Linked DNA regions of Sus scrofa. The protein of the gene in region 2 interacts with the protein of the main gene of each other region in a pairwise test. Links are inferred from orthologs where the notes say so. Each region holds a gene or a part of one and is shown on either strand. Other genes may lie near its edges. The genes, in order: RNF144B and UBE2U.

Evidence for each region.
Region 1: the proteins of UBE2U (region 2) and RNF144B interact in a two-hybrid assay, tested with the Homo sapiens proteins (2 studies listed by BioGRID and IntAct). The link is inferred for Sus scrofa from reciprocal best matches to the Homo sapiens genes UBE2U and RNF144B.

The regions. Positions count from the first base shown.
Region 1 is NC_010449.5:14,051,970-14,055,795, reverse strand, and holds part of RNF144B (E3 ubiquitin-protein ligase RNF144B), read right to left. Parts: intron 3,334-3,826; coding exon 3,122-3,333; intron 1-3,121.
Region 2 is NC_010448.4:148,300,541-148,304,366, forward strand, and holds part of UBE2U (ubiquitin-conjugating enzyme E2 U), read right to left. Parts: intron 2,803-3,826; coding exon 2,721-2,802; intron 1,724-2,720; coding exon 1,631-1,723; intron 1-1,630. UniProt on the Homo sapiens protein: Catalyzes the covalent attachment of ubiquitin to other proteins.

The DNA.
Region 1 (3,826 bases), on a different chromosome or scaffold from region 2:
ATGCAGTTTACTCTTTACCCAATGCTGATGCACAAATCCGAATTCTACTGCATGAGATCTCATTGCAAAAAGTGAATTCCATGTCCTGCTCTTCAACTTCAGTAATCCTCAGACAAGAATGTCCCTTCTGGCTTTAACCAAATGTGGCTTCTGACTCATTTGTTTCAAAGGTTAGCAAGGGTCTGAGACCGATGTGAGAAAATCTAAGAAAACAGTTTTGAAGCACAGCATTCAGAAACAAAGCAACACCAAAGGAAACCGAAGCTGCCCTGTGATGACAAGGCCATTTCCTCACTTCCCGTCAAGTAACACAAGATGAGGAAGAACCAGCACAAACATCACTTCATGAACCCACCTCCCGTCCACGCAACTGTCACTGCAGTGTCCTGGCCCCACACTCCTAACCAGCTCTACCTTTTTTCTTAAATCCCTATTACCCACTCCTATGTAACTTATCTATTTGTTAGGCTTTTTTATTTATTTCTGATTTTTTGTCTTTTTAGGGCCGTACCTGCGGCATATGGAGATCCCACGCCAGGGGCGAATCAGAGCTGTAGCTGCTGGCCTACACCAGAGCCACTGCAATGTGGGATCCAAGCCATGTCTGCAACCTACACCACAGCTCATAGCAACACCAGATCCTTAACCCACTGAGTGAGACCACAGATCGAAACCACGTCCCCATGGATGCCAGTCAGTTTCGTTTCCGCTGAGCCACAAGGGGAACTCCTATTAGGCTTATGATTTATTATGTAACTCTTTGACAGAACACAAGTTCCTAAAAGCAAGGATCTCTGCTGGGTTTTGTTCTTTAACTGATAAATCCCAGTGCCCAGAACAATTCCCAGGACACAGAGGCTGCTCACTAGGTATCTGCTGAATGAAGGGATAAATGATACTATTCTTTCCATCTCTGGATCCTCCAGTTCAAAACATAAGGATTTTAGTTGCTTTCCTTTTTATCTCAAAATTATTCCAAGCCTTCTCTCTACCCTAATCCTCAATCCAAACAAATTTAAGAAAATTGATATAAACTAGCTTGAAAAAGCGTCGTGTTAAATTAACTTGGAAAAGAGAGATGGGCGTTCCCGTTGCGGACCAGGGGGTTAAAAACTTGACAAGTCTCCACAAGGATCCGGGTTCTATCACTGGCCTTACTCAGTGGGTTAAGGATCTGGCGTTGCCACAAGCTGCAGTGTAGGTCATAGATACAGCTTGGATCTAGTGTTGCTGTGGCTGTGATGTAGGCCTGTAGCTGCAGCTCTGATTCAGCCCCCAGCCTGAGAACGTCCCTACGCCACAGGTGCAGCCATAAAAAGAAAACAAAAAGGGAGAGAGAGGGAGACGGGGTAAAATTTATTTCACCTTAACTTGTTAACGTTTTTTAAAAAGCATGATTAGTAGGATGTCTTTTTTATAAGTGATTCTAGTATTTCCTCAATGATTCCTTTCTTCTTACTCCCCTTGATTTAAGTACCGATCACTGTTCAATTTCCTTCACAAGTCAGAGTATTAAACCCACATTGGTTTGGTAATTATACCTACTATATATTAAGTATTAACAGTGTACCCATGCAAGGCCTACCAAAGCAAAGATAAGTGGTGAATATTACTAATTTAGGCATCAGGCCCTCCCCTCCACCCTGCTGAGAGGCCTCAAACTCTCCCTAGCTGACTCTTAATCCATCCTTAATTTGAAAGTATAGTTCATTCAAATACATACAAGAGAGAGGTAGGTACCATAAACAGAAAAAAGATCATCTATTTCTGGGCCTACGAAGCTACAGGCCCAGAGTAGCTCTATCTTACTGTTTATTCATTTTGAAAAGGAAAAATTTACAAAATCCGTCATTTGAAATTTCCCAATTGGGGAGTTCCCATCGTGGCGCAGTGGTTAACGAATCCGACTAGGAACCATGAGGTTGCGGGTTCGGTCCCTGCCCTTGCTCAGTGGGTTAACGATCTGGCGTTGCCGTGAGCTGTGGTGTAGGTTGCAGACGCAGCTCGGATCCCGCGTTGCTGTGGCTCTGGTGTAGGCCAGTGGCTACAGCTCCGATTCAACCCCTAGCCTGGGAACCTCCATATGCCGCGGGAGCGGCCCAAAGAAATGGCAAAAAGACCAAAAAAAAAAAAAAAAAAAAAGAAATTTCCCAATTGGGGATGCAAACGAAAAGGTGCTGAGGCCATGGCATCAGTGTGCAGTCTCTTGTTTAAAACCTCAGCTCAGGAAAGCACTGTCGCCAGGAAGCCCCCTCCCATCCCCAAAGAGGAGGACCGACCTCTGTGGTCTAGGGATCCCTAATTTCACCAGACTTGTGTATAGTTCTTTCAACGTGTCTGTCTTCCCTACGGGAAGTATCCTTTTCCTCTTCATATTCCCAAGACCAAGCAGAGTGCCTGGCATATCGTAGGAGCTCGAAAAACACCTCAGTGAGTGAACACCTGAACAAGTGTCAATCTGGTCCACACTTCTAGGAGCCCCTTTGAACCCATTAGCCTGTTTGCTATTTTTACTCTTTAACCAGCCAATCTTCAGGAAAACATGTGATCAAGATCATAGGCATTGACACTAAGTGTCCAACTAAACGACACAAGCCCACCCTGGAGTTGTACAGGGTCCTCTTTATTATGAGGAATAAGCAGCATTCAGCATATTCTGAAAAGACAAAAAAATGTAAAAGGAGATACGACCAAGTAAACAGGTGTACACACCATGTGCTTTGTAGGAGATGAGCAAGCATATTAAAGACGATCCAGTAAATTGATACCTGATTTCGCCATCATTCAAACCACCTGATAAACTTCTTACAGATGGCTGTTAACTAAGGCATGTTAAAAAATGTCACTGTTTTGCTCCCTAGCTAGATTCTTAAGAACAGAAAGATACTGCTTATTTAACCAATAATTAAATTTCACACACGCATTACAGTAAAACCCAGTCAATACCAGGTTTACCATTCAAGATAGTATTTGGAATCAGATTCAAAGGTGGAACTGTTTCCCCAGGCAGGATCATATCGCAGCAGACTTGGGCTTCTCAGTAAGCCATAGACATGTAAGCTGTACTTGTACAAGTCTTTCTCTGTATTTTCTCATCATGAAAGAACCAAGGAAAACTTACGGCTGTGCAAAAGATGCAGCGGCATTCCTGGAGTGTGGTCATCTTGTCCAGAGACTGCTCACACAGGCAGAGTTTGCAAGTGACGAGGGGGGTCAGAGCCAGGTCTCCAGGCGTGGGATTTTCAGCGGGATTTTCGGCAGTCATGGTGAGATAGTGGAGGCTACCAACGGAGCTCATCAGCCTATTTTCAGCCTCTTCAGTCTCCTTAATCCCTACAGAAAGGCCCAAAGCAGAAAATATTACATCCATTGATACAGCTCTCGTTCCACCAACACATCTGGGCACCAGCAGAGCAAACTCTCATCCTCAGTGGCCTAAGGGCACAGAAAACGCATTTCTGAGAACCACGGGCTAGAGAGCTTGCCACTTGCACAGTATTTCTGGAGTCCTGAAACGGAAGTGGGCCTCACTGCCTGACTCATATCACATAAACTATGGGAATTAAAAGACCACTATGAACAAATATACTATTTAGGAACTGCATTGCTACAATCAATGCAACAGATTCAAAAAATCCTTATAAATAGAATGTCAAGCAAAAAAAAATAAAGAATTACCATATGATCCAGCAATTCCACTTCAAGGTGTACACCCCTGAAAGCAGGGACGCAAACAGATACTTGCTCATCAAGTTCATAGCAGCATTATTCACCATAGCCAAGAGGTGAAAACAATCCAAGTATCCATCAACAGATGAATGGACAA
Region 2 (3,826 bases):
ACCTATAATATAACCTATAATATAATCTATTATATAATCTAATATAATAACCTAGAATATAACCTAGAATATAATCTGCCAAAGTTCTGCAACACTTTGCTGCATACCTAAAACTAACATAATATTGTAAATCTATTATACTTCAAATAGAAGAAAACATATTCTTTCATACTTGTGCTAGCATTTCTATGAAATAATTTATAAACATGGTATTACAAGGATTTAGGACTATTTGCACTTTATATCTGATATGAAACTGTCAAATTGCTTCCCCACAAGGTCACTCTATATATCATTATATCAGAGAACTCTTGTTTGCCCACCTGTACTGTAACTGTATGTTATTATTATTTTTTTGGCTATGTCCACAGCATGTTGAAGGTCCTGGGCCAGGGGTCGAACCCATACCACAGCCCCAACCCAAGCCACAGCATGACAATGCTGGATCCTTAACCCACTGAGCCACAAGGAGGGAACTCCTGTGTTGTTGTTATTATTATTATTATTTGTCTTTTTAGGGCCACACCCATGGCATATGGAGGTTGCCAGGCTAGAGGCTGAATCAGAGCTGGAGTCAGAGGCCTACACCAGAGCCACAGCAACGCAGGATCTGAGCCACGTCTGTGACCTACACCATAGCTCATGGCAATGCTAGATCCTTAACCCACTGAACGAGGCCAGGGATCGAACATGCGTCCTCATGGTTTGTTAACTGCTGGGCCACAATGGGAATGCCTGTGTTATTATTTTTAACATTTATTTTCTTTCTAGTGAAGCTGACATCTTTTTATGTTTATTTTCACTACGTTTTTTCTATCAAATGTTGGTTTATAACCTTTGCCCATTTTTCTATTGCTTTATGTTTTTCTTATTGATTTACAGGTGGTCTTTACATATTATAAACATTCTAATTTATGCCTTTCAAATATTTTTCCTCACTTTACAAATGTCAATGCAGTTTTGTCTCTTTATAATGTTGTTAGTTACAGAGACATTTTTTAAAGTTTATGCAATTTAATGTGTCATGCTTTTCTCGTAGTTTCTAGGTTTTGTTATTTTTAGAAAAGCCTTCCTCACCAGCATATTAAAAATTCTATTAGGTTGTCTTCGTTTTAATAGTCGAAATTTTTACATTTATAACTGATCAACAATTTGCATAACTTGAAGTTGCAATCTAACTTCTTTTTAAGATGTTAATTTGTCAGTGCATCATTTTTTTTTAAGTAAAAAATTAGATCCAACTAAAATACTGAACAACGCAGGAATGGTTACGTTTATCATTCAGTCATTAAAAGTTTTCTTTGAAGAATGTTTAATAATACAGAAATAAATGTATTCTGTCATTTTAAGTAAAAAAGATATAAAACTTTATGTGGAAATACCTCAACTATGCAGATAAAATGCATATGCAGAAGAAAGGAAATAAATGTGGTTAAATGTTGAGAGTTGCATCTGTCTGAATTAGGAATCAGATGGATAATTTTTTATGCCTTTTAATATTTTCCTGAGTAAGTACGCTGACTTTTATAATCATAACAAAGTGATTAAAAGGAATCATTATTAAACACTATAAAGAATAAGGTTAATAGGGAAAGAGCCCATGACAATAATAACTTCATTTGTTCCTTACCATTTGGATGAAAAGGAATCGTTCTAAATCGCACAACTGGAGGGACAAAATTGTACTCTGATGTAAAACTTATTGTCAGTTGGAAGAATGATCCTATGATATAGAAATAAACATTTTTACTAAAGTGTCACGTACTGATTAACTGTAACCTGATTAACACTGGAGTTTCTTTGCACAGTTTTGACTCCCCAAGGTCCCAAGGATTTTATGAACAGGTAAATTGGATTATAGACCCCACTAAACAGTGTAATAAGAGTCCTCACAATCTAATCTCCTGTTTTCAGCATTTCCATTCCCACCAGTCCTTTCCACCCACAGACTCTGTGGAATCTCATATTTACTGTGTCCCCTTCATTGTGCACCTCATATTTACTGAGCTCATTGCTTCAGAACCCTCTCTTGTATAGAGGCTTTTGCTAGGCTCTTTGCTCTGCCTGGATCACCTTCTCATTCTAAATCTGGCCATCACTCATACATTCTTCAGGACTCAACTCAAGTGTCACTTCCTTGGGAAGCTGTTCCTGAATCTCTAAGGCAAAATTAATCACGGCCTTCTCAGTCATCCATTCAAAATCCATAATGGCACATTATATTTTACTGTAATTATCCACTTAACCTGTTTTTCTCTCCTACTTCACCCAAACAAATATATCCTGTTAATCTGCTTCTGTACGAGTGCATGGTCATTAAAGTTTATAGCACCCTAGTCTTCTTGAGAATTTGATTTGTGGAGATTTGTGAGAAAATCAAAGAGGGAAAAGAATGAGACATAGCTGTGGGATTTTTATGCCAGTATGTATTTTAATTGCCCTTCTCTGGTTTCATGGAAGACTGTGAGATGATATTTTCAATTGATATGCTTTACGTTCTGCTTCTTAAAAACATGATATTAAGATGTGGCATAAAGAAAAATTCAGGCCTGAAATTCACACCCATGTTAACAAATAGCAATAAAATTAAGCCATACGATGAAAAAATAACATGTGAATACTTTTAGAATTCTCAAAAAAGTATATAATGCAACATTAAAGAAATTAGACTAATAACATAAAGACTTTTAAAAAAGTAAAGTATGTTTGAAAGCACAAACCTTGCCAAATTGTATTCTGCAGACCTTTAATATCAACTTCCCATTCCAACAAATCTTCACTGATAGGAAAGGCATTAATACCCTTTAATTAAGAAAAATCAAAGCAGAAAAAGGATTAGTTATTGCAGCTTTGAAAATCAAATATTAGGTTGCAATAAATTCCCGAAGCTCTGCATTTTCTTTTTCTGATAAATTTCTTTATTTTTTGATTTGGGAAGGTGTTATATATTGTCTTACTTCACAGAAGTTAAGGCAGATACCAGAAAACACACAAAAAAGTACATTTAAAATAAATCATTAGTGTGGAAATCATGAGTGGGATAGGAAGGTCATGAATGGAATGTGTGGCTTATGCAAATCAACAGACAATATAAGATTCAAATTTCGAAAAGAATAGTTAGAAGCATGCATTTCTTCAAAGCCTTTAAAAGCCATATGGAGGCTATATAAGTATAAAGTAAGAAAAATTTCATTAAGTAAAACACAACTCCAATAGCACGCTCATATATAAGAATAAAACACTTGAGCTATTATTCCAATGGAGAAACAAGAATACATTTCATAGATAAAGGTTATTCATTACACTGAGGAATATGCTTAAACATAGTCAATAAACACTCTGAGCAACCACACAGTTATTAGCTATGTTGAGTGCTAGTCTGAATAACCATTACATCTTTTATTATCTACATCAACTATATTTACATATCATTTCTCCCTTCATCAAATTTTCTTTCAACAGCAAGCCACAAATTCAGGTGGAGCAGGAACAGTATCCAATGTTACTTTCACGCCTCTAGGATGTTTGATGTTGAACTCAGTAATTGTTCCTAGCATCCACTAAGACAATGCTTCCACGGCAGGAGTGGAAACCGAGCAATGCCATTGAACTATACCTGAAGGAGCTGTTGATAAGGACTCTACACCTTCCTATGCACAGCTTTCTAGTCTTAAGTAGTCCCTTGACCCTTCCATTTTTTAAAAATTCTCCATATTGTTTGTGATGAAACAGCTATGGCACCTGTGGACATTGATAACATCATTGGTGGCACCTGGGGTAAAGCCTTCCTCTGTGTTAAACTTGTAAGTGAAAGGCACTTAAGTAC